Sus scrofa: one gene and its partner. The protein of the gene in region 2 interacts with the protein of the main gene of each other region in a biochemical or structural test. Links are inferred from orthologs where the notes say so. Each region holds a gene or a part of one and is shown on either strand. Other genes may lie near its edges.

Region 1 (6,057 bases), about 4.6 Mb from region 2:
GCTACATTCATCCCTTCGTGGTCTTTTGGTCTCATATCTTGAAATACTACTCAGATTCCTACTGACAAGTTGCTGTCTCCAGCCCATACCCCTCCCCTAGACTCAGAGCTTCCATCTCCACGCTCCACTTCACACCTCCTCCTATGTTCCTCCCAGCCCCAGCTCCCCATGTGCTCCTCCTCCTGTTTTCTCCGCTTAGTAAAGGACCACAATTTCAGTTGCTGAGCTCAGAAACTTGGGAAAGTCACGCTTGCCCTCTACTTACCTTTTACCTGCAACATGTATCTATTATCCAGCCACTTCTCACCCCCTCCATTTCACATCCGGGTCCAAGCCATCAGATGGCTCGTGCAGTGGCCTCCCTGAGGGTTCCTCTGCCACAGCCCTCACTTCCCTCTCCATCCCCTCCCCATCACACAATCTTGTCTCAAAAAAGAAACCAGAGCAATCTTTTTTTTTTTTTTTTTTAAGGGCCACACCCACGGCATATGGAGGTTCCCAGGCTAGGGGTCTAATCAGAGCTACGGTTGCCGGCCTTTGCCACAGCCACAGTAACAACAGATCTAAGCCATGTCTGCGACCTACACCACAGCTCACAGCAACACTGGATCCTTAATCCACTGAGTAAGGCCAGGGATTGAACCCACAACCTCATGGTTCCTAGTCGGGTTCATTTGCTCTGTGCCATAAGGCGAACTCCAGAAACCAAAGCAATCTTTTAAAAGTAAAGTTCATATTATATTACTCATCTGCTCTGAACCCACCTACGATTTTCTTCCTCACTCCACTTTATTCAGTAAAAACCTGAAATGCTGATCTGACCCCTCCCATTACCTCTCCAGCCTCACCTGTTGCCTCTCTCCCTTGGCTTACACTGTTCCAACTGCCCTGGCCTCCTTGCTTCAGAGTGTATGACCTAGTGTCCCCTCAGATAATCACAGGGTCCACATCAGACTCAGAGCTTTGCTCAGTGTCCCCAGGGATGAGGCATTCTCTGACCACAACTGTCAGGACTGTTGGAGCAATATCCCACCCCAGCCTCTTCTCCTGTGGCCCAGCTTATTCCTGAGAGCACTTGCCATCTGCCACCTGTTTACATTTGTTGGTTATCTGCTCCTTGAGGGCTGGGGTTTGGCCTCTTTTATATACTGCTTTATTTATAGAGCCTGGTACATAGTAGGTCCCCAGGATATAGCTTTGAAATGAATAAGGAAAATTACAAGGAGATATTTCTTACTAAAACTTTACTCTTTATCTGTAAGTTTTGATATCTTCACCTTATGCTTTTTTGTAGCTAATGTTTTTTGTCCTCCTTGAGGCTGAGGTTTTTATATTCAGTGTGGAACAAGAGACTCTAGACTGAGCCTTACATTCCTATTTTTTTAAGTTTATATTTTATATGGGAAATGAGGTGCAAGGGGCATGAAGCCAGACAGAAAAGTAGTAAATGTTGTAAGGGGTTGTTACCTAAAAGCTAAAATAATAGTTAATAATTACTAATTCTTAGCGAGTTGAGAGTATATAGTTCTTGGAATCATACCACTTGGAAGTCTAGGAATCTAATAAAGAAAAGCTTAATATAGAATGTTTATTTAAACATTCACTCTGCTTTCTTTAGTTTCCAGAATATTCAGATTCATTATTACCACAGCCAGTTAGTCTACAGAGCATTCCAGCAACATCATCAAACCAGAGACTGCCGACCTTGCCCAGCAATCATCCATGTACGTGACACTTTATTGTTTGCATTGAATAAGGAAACTTGTGAGGATATATGGATCTGCTAGGGATTTATTGGTAATTGGAAACATACAGAGAGGAAAAATTAGAGATGCATTTGCATTTTTAAGCTCCATGAGATAAATTCAGGGCAGATATGACTGACAATAGGGGATTGTAAAAATGCTTGTTTTACACTGAATATTATATTTTGAGTGAGTGCTGAGGTAAATGAACCTTTAGTGGAAGTTTGGAAATCTTTTTGTTAGATACAGGTTTTTTGTACTTGGAAGTAGCATTAGAACAGCAGTGTGGGAGTTCCTGTTGTGGCTCAGGAGTAATGAACCTGACTAGTATCCATGAGGATGCTGGTTCGATCCCTGGCCTTGCTCAGTGGGTTAAGGATCGGGGATTGCTGTGAGTTGTGGTGTAGGTCGAGGATGTGACTCGGATCCTGTATCACTATGGCTGTGGTGTATGCTGGCAGCTACAGCTCTGATTCAACCCCTAGCCTGGGAATTTTCATATGCTGTGGGTATAGCCCTAAAAAGACAACAACAACAGCAACCAAAAGCAGTCTGCTTATGTCTGGTTGTCAGTGTTTGTTGGGATCTTTCGTTTGAAGTCTAGCTCATAAAGAGAATGTTGATTTTGTGTATCTCTTCAAAAAGCACAGTGTGTGTTTTCTGGTCATTTTGTTGCCTATAGCAATGACAAAGAATGATCTTCAGCCACCCAATTACTACGAAGTAATGGAGTTTGATCCCTTAGCGCCTGCTGTCACTACAGAGTAAGTCATTTACAAAATGATTTCTTTCTTTTTTTTTTTTTTTGGTCTTGGTTCCCTGGTAGCAAAGCTAACAGGGCTTGGTTATACATTCTTTTTAAGGTTTTGGTAGAAATCAATGACCTTATTTAAAAATGACTTGAGTTTTTGTGGAGGCTCTTACTGGTCTTGTCATTCTCCGCCTTGGGACTAAAAAATAAAAATGCTGGGGCTGCACATGAAGAAATAACCCGAACTCTCATGTGCATTAGTGCATTCCTCATAGGTACCTGGGCAGAAAGTCAGGTTCTTTACAGCTTGAGAAGAGAGCTACTCATGGACTGGTAATATAAGTACCACATTGAGGGGATAATTTAATTGTTCTTTGACTAGTGCTCTCATATAAGAGCTTGTTTTTTAATTCTCACTACCTATGACAACAATATGTTTAAAATGGATTATTACTGTAAAAATAACTTTAACTTGAAATCCTTAAACAGCATTATTTTATGATTTCATACTGGTCAACTGTATGTAAATATTTATGATAGTTCCCATCATGGCTCAGTGGTTAATGAACCTGACTGATATCCATGAGGACAAGAGTTCAATCCCTGGCCTTACTCAGTGGGTTAAAGATCCGGTACTGCTACGAGCTGTGGTGTAGGTCACAGGCTCAGCTCAGATCCAGCGTTGCTATAGCTGTAGGCCAGCAGCTACAGCTCTGATTGGACCCCTAGCCTGGGAACCTCCATATGCCATGAGTGCAGCCCTAAAAAGACAAAAAATATATATATTTATGGATGGTAGGCTCAATAGAGCTGTAATGTACTTTGATTGACTGAAGTTTATCCCCCCAAATTGTATACAATGATTAAAGCAAATTTATGGAAATCATTGTTTAGAAACCAGCAGCCTGCAGGCTATAACTTGCCTGCAGCTGTGTTTGACCTATCTGAATTTTAAATATGCATTTGCAAATTAATTCCCAAGAGTTAAAAAGTGAGATATAGTAAAAAAAAATATCTGGACCTCTGGATTCTTTGGGACATGACAGAAATGCCAGGCCTGCATTTTTACATGCTAACAATAGCCTGGGGCTTTGTAGTAGCTGCCTCTTTAAGACAGGTAGATTCTGAGGTCCACCAGGCCCCACCCGACCCCCTGCATCCCTTCATCTGATCTGCCAGGTACATGAGGCATTTGCTACACCCTCAATGTAGTGATCCATTTTGGAATGATTTATGAATAAGTCTTAATAGGCTTAGGAGTTCATTAAATATTTTTTCCTAACAGGATTGTGAAATTTCCCTAGGTCATTCTGCTTGATAAAGTGTCACTGAATATACTAGTGGTTTAAGAAATTAGAAATTGGGGAGTTCCCGCCATGGCTCAGCGGCTAACGAATCTGACTAGGAACCATGAGGTTGTGGGTTCGATCCATGGCCCCGCTCAGTGGGTTAAGGATCTGGCGTTGCCGTGATCTGTGGTGTAGGTCACAGACATGGCTCAGATCTGGCATTGCTGTGGCTGTGGCGTAGGCTGGCGGCTACAGCTCCAATTCAACGCCTATCCTGGGAATGTCCATATGCCTTGGGTGTGGCACTAAATAGACAAAAAAAAGGAAAAAAAAAAGAAATTAGAGATTGGTTAAACTAGGTATGCTATCTGTAAACTATGCTCTTATCAGTTCTGCATCCAATAGGAATATAGACTATAAGGAGATATTAGGAGATTCTTGTAATATGGAGGTGCAACAGATATTAAAAAAACAAAGAAGAAAGAATTTCTACTCCAGCAGAACACAGAGTGCAGTACTTATACATACACATGATTCATTCATTCGATAAATGCATTGAACATTGACTGTGTGCAAGAGACAATGATCAATGCCTAATTTATCATGTTGAACATCTAGTTTGGAGGCAGAACTTAAATCACCAGGCAGACATGGATTTTACAACTTGTGTTAATGGTATGGAAGATGCTGACAGTATATTACAGAAAGAACTGATTTAAATGAGGGTTAGAGAAAGCCTGGGGAAGTGACATTAAGGCTAAGACCTGCAATTTTTAGTATGGTGGCAAGTTTGGGAATCAGTGTTGCAGGCCCTGGTAACAGTTTACACAAAGACCCTATGGGGAGAGACTTTGGCACATTCAAGGAAATGGAAAAGCCAGGGACAAAGAGAGCAACAGGGAACCTGTTACCAGATGTGGAAACTGCCATTTGGGAATAAAAAGAAGAGCATGCATAACTATGATGAACATCGCTGAAGAAAGATGAGGTCTGAACACTAGATAAATCACTGGTGATTTCAGTAGAAGCATTCTGGTATATTGATAGGGACAGAGCCAAATTTCAGTGCATTAAAAAATAAGAGATGAAGGGGACATATGAGACATTTCTTAACTTCCTGCTCAGTTTTGTTGTGAATCTAAAATTGCTCTAAAAAATAAAGTCTGTTTTTAAAAAAAAAAAAAAGTCAAATTCTTAAAGTCCCACAGACTTTTTAAGGGACAAACTGTTAATATCAATAAAAAAACTTTTGAGGAGTTCCCATCGTGGCGCAGTGGTTAACAAATCTGACTGGGAGCCATGAGGTTGCGGGTTGGATCCCTGCCCTTGCTCAGTGGGTTAGGGATCTGGCGTTGCCTTAGCTGTGGTGTAGGCTGCAGACGCGGCTTGGATCCCGAGTTGCTGTGGCCCTGGCATAGGCCAGCGGCTACAGCTCCAGTTGGACCCCTAGCCTGGGAAACCTCCATATGCCGTGGGAGCGGCCCTTGAAAAGGCAAAAAGACAAAACAAAAACAAAAACAAAAACTTTTGAATGCAAAAAAAAAAAAAAAGTAAATGAAGTAGATGCTAAGTGCACAGGTTATAACTTATGCAGAAACTTAAACATGAAGTGATCATGGTAACTGGTCTGACAGGTAGAGGATTATTGAGGTGATTAAGTAGACATGGGATTGAGTGTATTATTTTATAAAACGGGAGATAACTGGGATATCTATGAATTCTGAGGGGTAGGATGTAGTAGAGAATGAGAAGCTGAAGATTCAAGAAGGGAAACACTACGCTAAATGAGTATAGTATTTGAAAAGTGAGGGGTAGAGAGATAGGATCACAGAAGTAGATCATGGTACAGATGAAAACAGACTTGAAGATCTGGTGATGGGAACCTGAGGTTTCTGACTGACAGGAGAGGGATCAGAGATTTGAGTGAAGAAGGCTTGAAACAGTCTTGTAGACAATGAGAGACAAAACTTACAAAGAAACATTAAAATGTCTGGACCATGCTGGGTTGGGGCCTTCAAATGTGTATGCCTTCAAAGTGCTGTATTTTTATGAGATTTTTCTTTTTTTAGCCATGTGTTGCTATACTGTGTATATTGATACCAGTATTTGTAGATACATTTTTGAGCTGTGGACATACGTAAGACAAATATAAAGAATTGAATGAAGGCTCTCATAGAAAAATTACTATATATAGGGAATTCCTGTGTGGCTCAGCAGTAACAAACCTGACTAGTATCCATGAGGAGGCAGGTTTGATCTCTGCCTCTTCTCA
Region 2 (6,057 bases):
CATGTGTATAACATCACTTGATCGATGAGTCATTATTGTAATACAACAGCCTAGATGCAAGCCTCAAACCACAAAGTTGTAATCTGAACAAGTAACAACATTCTTCAATCTAACTGTTTAATAATAAAGTCCTTGAAGGTACTATAAAACTTCTAAAGGCACACTCTTCTCCAAGTTTTCAGTATCAAGGACTAACTTGAATGGTAATGAAACTGGGAGGATTTGTAATTTGGAGGGTAAGACTTTTAGGCTCTAGGGAAACTTCTGATACAATTCAACATGATGCTCAGTCACAGAGATGAGGATGGGACCCGAGTCTTTCTATAAGAAAATCATGTTGACTATAAGACAAAGAAAAGGCATTCAGCTTAAACTTAAACTTTATTTTTGCAAAATCCTTCACAAGGGGAAGTTTACTAAAAGACAACTACTAATATGGTATTGGGCAAGGAAAACAGTGTATTTAATAAAGTATAGTTAATACCATGTAAGTTTTATGGACTGGTTGAAAAGATTAAAGACAATTTCAACTCGATCTACAGATTGATGTTTGGGAATGAAGTAACCATAGTATTTTTCAAAAGCATTAACTTGGACAAGAGCTAAGCAAAATTGTGCAAACTTGGCAGTTACTTAGGAGACATCAGATTGATCAATTCTGAAAACTTCACTAAATTTATTTATTTGTGGAATAAATTTATTTATTTATGGAAGTTCTCATGCCAGGGATTGAGTCTGAGCCACAGCTTCAACCTATGCCACATCTACAGCAACACTGGATCCTTAACCCCACTGTGCCGGGCTGGGGCCTGAACCAGTGCCTCAGCAGCAACCACAGCTGCTGCCGTCAGATTCTTTCCCCACTGCATCACAGGGGGAACTCCAAAACTTCACTAAATTTAGATTCAAGGCACACAAGCACCTCTTGATACAATCCTAAGAGAGATATGGGCTTTTTTACTGCAGAACATGCTAACTTTACAACTCAGTGATAGCCTGAGTTTGAGAATATATACAAGAACCAAGACAACTTACCTGATAATCTTCTTCTGTAATAAAGAGGTTGTTCAGTGATTCATTCACAGATTTGTTGTTGTGGTTTTGGACTGAACGCAAATACGGTTTCACCAGTGGCAGCTGTTTAACCTTTAAAATAATGACTTTGTTAGAAATGCAGCACATTGCTAAAGTCCCATGGGCAAAAGCTACCCAAGTATGTCTTAGTGCCTTGCTATGAAGTTTTGGGGTTTTAAAAATAATTACCTTGCTGAAATAATTGACTGCACGAGTATGATCCAACCGTGGAGACAGCACCATCAGCAAATCATTTAACAACAGCGGCTTGAATTCTAAGTAGAACTGTATTGCTCTGTAGTATAGTTCCACATTGGCAACCTAAGACAGGAAAAATCCATACATAAGAGTCATTTCCATGAGTTTTCTTTTTCTGAAAACTTTATCTTCTGATAATGGTACACACCTTGGTAATGATATCTTTGAACTGCCCTTCTTTCCATGCATCGGTCGGATGATTCATCATGGTAATTATGGCATTATCATATTCTTCATACTTGTCATACAAAAATACCAATTCTGCCCAAAGATGAGCTTGTTCTGCAGCTCTTAGCACCTGCATAAGAAAGATTTAATTGCTTTAGCTATGGGTCTCTAATTCTAGTTAATAGAAAATTTTTTAAGAACTTAAAGTATTCATGTGAGAAAAAGGAATATATATGTATGTGTAAGTGTGACTGGGCCACCTTGCTGTACAGGAGAAAACTGACAGAGCACTGTAAACCAGCTATAATGGAAAAAAAAATAAAAATCATTAAATAAAAAAATTTTTTTAAATTAAAGTATTAGTTTTAGCTATAGAGCTGCCTTACAATTAAAGGTTGGTTACCTTAGGAATATTCACTCTGGACCAAAACAGCTCCAAGTGCTCCCTCATTTTCTGTGGCTTAAATTTAGAATACAGAATAGCTAATTCGGTAAACATCCCCATATGAGCACGCTCAAGTCCCAGTGCTGCTTCCAACATGGTTATCAGTTCTTCAAAATATCCACGATCCTAAAAAAGGGAGATACGCAATTAAAGATGAGATTATCTGTGGCAAAAGATCTCAGTAAGTAAAGTATTACATTTAAAATAAGTAGACAATAAGGTCCTACTGTATATCCACTCTCCTGGGATAGGCCACGATGGAAAATAATATAAAAAGAAGGTGTGTGTATATATACAGGTATGACTGAGTCACTTTGCTCTATAGCAGAAACAGGCACAATATTGTAAACCAACTATAAATTTTTAAAAAGCTCAATTAATATGAAAGATTCAAATTCATTACCTGATAGTAGTTAATAAGTTCCTCCAATTCATCTGCATGTACTACAATGTGAAGCCCACACATCTGAGCGAGACGGAACTCCTTCCCATCTACACACGCGAAGCAGACCTACAGTGTAAAAAAATTGAATTATGTGAACTCAAGTGCAGATATGACTGGTTAATACAATTAATCAGTTTAAAGAACATTCCTAAATAGGATCTTAATTCTTCATTCAAACTGTTGTTAAGATTACCTCTTTCCATGTTCGAGTACTGTTAGCTTTCCTAGCTCCATCAACAGCTGCCTGATATTCACCCAGATGAACGAGAGTAGATGCCAAGCGTCCAAAATTGGAAACATTATTGTATAACAACTTAGCAGCATCATACATTTTTTCATCATAACAACGGTCACCAACCTGAAAAAAAATACAAACTGTTTTCAGTAAGCCTAAACTTAATCCTCTTTTTCAAAGTTACAACTCAATATAATACTGATAAACAGTATTTTTCCTTAGAAACTTCAGTTGTCACATGTTGATCCTACTGAGCTAATAAAATTGCTCAACTATTTTTACACTCCTTTAAAAGAAAAAAAAAAATCTGAACAGGAAACCCACTTGTTGGATATGAGCGTTATTTGGCCCATTGATGAATTCTTCTAACTCCGCGAGGCGGTTTGTTTTAGCCAGTGCAAATATCAATTCTGTCTCCACATAGGACTCACGAGCCTTCTTACGGGCCATCTGCAAGTACTTCACCAGCTCTTCCCAGTTTCCTAGGTATAGAAAAACAAATATATAAATCCAAACACTAACACAGTAACATTTATCTTTCCACTCAAGTAAATGAGAATTGCTACTAATTCCCTTCACAAGGGAACGGTATAGAGAATAACAAATGTAAACAGTAAAATGCATCAAAATAGTGTAACTTCCATTACACCTCTGTATTATTACTGACCAAATGAATAGCTGAATCCCCTTTATTCTTAAAGCTAAAAGCATAGAACTAGATCAGAATTTTATGAGACTTTAAAACAGAAAATTAAACTTTCCCATTTAGTTTTTTTTTTTTTAAGTGGCTGCACTAGCAGCATATGGAAGTTCCCGGGCAAAGGACTGAGGCTGAGCCATAGCTGCAACCTATGCCATAGCAGTCGGATTCTTAAACCAGTGTGCCACAGTGGGAACTACCCCCATGGAGCTTTTAATTTCACAAACACAGCCTCCCTTTACCTGCACTAGGATGGAGGGCAAACAACCATGAGGTCTCTAACTCCTACATAATTCAGAATAGACATGTAACTTAATGCTTAGCTAAGGTACATTTTCTGAGGTGGCAAACACGTGAAAGTGTGAAACCTTACCACTAGTATTGGCAGCCTGAACAACTTCCATGTAGGATGAAGGATCATCTGCTTTGATGTAAGAATCAATGGCTTCTTTTACCATTCCTTTCTGCAACTGGGCTTTTGCAAGCTGACTCCAGACTGCAGGTTCATTGCAGCGTTCAGCAAACTCATAAGCCCGGTCTAAGTTTCCAATGTGTTCAATCAAGACCTAGGCAATCAATTTTTAATTAGAGTTACAGTCCAACAACACAGTTATGGATTTTACTGCTCATCTACTGCCACAGTAATAAATTATGCCCATCCTCACAGGACAATGCATACAGTGAACCAAAGGCAGGCATTATCTGTAGGAAATCAACTCAGGCAATATGAAGGTTTACCTGCACTGCTGAAGTATTGACATCAAATTTCCGAAAAATGGCAAATGCTTCTTCAAACAGCTCATTGCTGATGGCAATATTGGCAATATCTGGGGCATCGTAATTATCCAGGCGGTTAATATATTCCATAACACGGGTACGGTCAGCTTTGATTGCAGTGAGGATCAGAAGATTTTGCAGATTCCTTTAAGAGAAAAGATTTGAATGAAATGCTTTAAAAGCTCGTTAGTCATAAAGAATAAACACTGCAGCTACAGAATTTTTTGTCTCAGGAGGTAGGGTGAGAAGAGGTTATTACAAGAGTGAGAATTTAAACAACATTCTCCAATCTTTGTCTTTTTGTTCCTTCTCCAAACTGACAAGCCAAAATTAAAGACTGAATATAGAGAGCCAATGGATGGACCCCTCTCACAACATACCTGTGTTCACTGAAGACAGAGTTATCAAGGACAATTTTCTCCAGCAGTTCAATGAGTTCATTAGGAAGGTCTGCAGTCATAAAAGCCTTGACAGTTACTGACACTTCTTCAGGGTCCTGAGTCTCAGACAAGGCTGTCTGTACAACCTACAGAGAATATATAAGGAATGAGTATTGAGAGTCAAGGTGGTTTTGATGATATTATCTAGTAAGAATAAGCTGGCCTCCCAGTAGAAAACTTGAAACAGGTAGATAAAAATGAATGAAATAAAAATACCTTTAAATTTACCACCTAAAGGTCTTTCTATACAAATCCATACATACCCATAACATATGTACTTCCACTCTCTTTTAAAAGGGGGGAAAAAAATCACCCTCATTATATAATTTCTATCTTCTCCCTGATTAAACTATTAGCCACAATAACCACTTAACACTTTTATGGTTTCACATAATTCAACCATACAGATATGGCGTTCATTATATACTCAGTAACTTCTCTATTTTTGTCTATCTGCATTGTTCCCAGATGTGGTAATAAATATTTTTTCTAGGGAGTTCCCACTGTAGTACAGCAGAATAGAATCCAACTAGGAACCACGAGGTTTTGGGTTCAACCTCTGGCCTCCCTCAGTGGGTTAAGGATTCAACATTGCTGTGAGCTGTGGTGTAGGGTGCAGAAGCAGCTCGGACCTGGCGTTGCTGTGGCTGCAGTGTAGGCCAGCAGCAACAGCTCTGATTCAACCCCTAGCCTGGGAACCTCCATATGCCACAGGTGCGGCCCTAAAAAGCAAAGATAAATAAATAAATATTTTTTTCTAGGAAGCTTTGTATTTATCTTCTTGGGAATTTGCCTTAGAAATGTTTCCTAGGAGAGGAACAAAAAAGTGTTACTATTCTTCAATTTATTCTCTTTCAAGACTTAGACATCTACCGGGACAATTAAAGAACCATTATAACAACCTTCATTTTTAAGGTTTTAAAAAACGTTTTCAATTTTTACATAGTTGTAAGCCCACATCTCTTTCGCAGTTTTAAGTTTACTTTTGAGATTTATTAACACTACCTACTAGTCATTTGTATTTTCTCTTCCTTTATCTTGAGTCTTTCCAATCAATTTAGTCACTTTTCAGGTATTAATAACAGCAATTCTTACACATTTTATTAAATGTTTAATTTGCTATTTTCCTTTTAACTATGATGTTGGGAATGTATTTTCTTGGAGAGGATACATTTCATTTTTGTTAATACATATACATATATTTTAGTATTATAACTTTTATTTTCCTCTGCTTTTTTACTGCCATCTCGCACAATTAAATATGATCCATTTGAATATATCTAGTATACTTATATATCTAGTATATTTATTCACAGTTAAAAAGATGAGCCTTAAACACATTTGCCAATTTTACCTGATCGATCAGGGGTCTTCTGTAAGGATTGCTTTCCAGCAGCACACTACCCCACAATTCTGGATCCTTTCTGCGTACCAGATAGCGGGAAAGACTTTTGAAGAGAGAATTCTCATTGCAAACCTAAATGAGATATTAAAGATTAATTTCAAGGTAAAAGA

The links.
Region 1: the proteins of CLTC (region 2) and TOM1L1 form a complex in vitro, tested with the Homo sapiens proteins (2 studies listed by BioGRID and IntAct). The link is inferred for Sus scrofa from reciprocal best matches to the Homo sapiens genes CLTC and TOM1L1.

What each region holds. Positions count from the first base shown.
Region 1 is NC_010454.4:31,261,666-31,267,722, forward strand, and holds part of TOM1L1 (TOM1-like protein 1), read left to right. Parts: intron 1-1,618; coding exon 1,619-1,724; intron 1,725-2,427; coding exon 2,428-2,509; intron 2,510-6,057. UniProt on the Homo sapiens protein: Probable adapter protein involved in signaling pathways. Interacts with the SH2 and SH3 domains of various signaling proteins when it is phosphorylated. May promote FYN activation, possibly by disrupting intramolecular SH3-dependent interactions.
Region 2 is NC_010454.4:35,903,253-35,909,309, reverse strand, and holds part of CLTC (clathrin heavy chain 1), read right to left. Parts: intron 6,020-6,057; coding exon 5,897-6,019; intron 4,629-5,896; coding exon 4,483-4,628; intron 4,248-4,482; coding exon 4,064-4,247; intron 3,892-4,063; coding exon 3,699-3,891; intron 3,108-3,698; coding exon 2,950-3,107; intron 2,749-2,949; coding exon 2,584-2,748; intron 2,457-2,583; coding exon 2,349-2,456; intron 2,072-2,348; coding exon 1,904-2,071; intron 1,631-1,903; coding exon 1,481-1,630; intron 1,396-1,480; coding exon 1,264-1,395; intron 1,147-1,263; coding exon 1,036-1,146; intron 1-1,035. UniProt on the Homo sapiens protein: Clathrin is the major protein of the polyhedral coat of coated pits and vesicles. Two different adapter protein complexes link the clathrin lattice either to the plasma membrane or to the trans-Golgi network.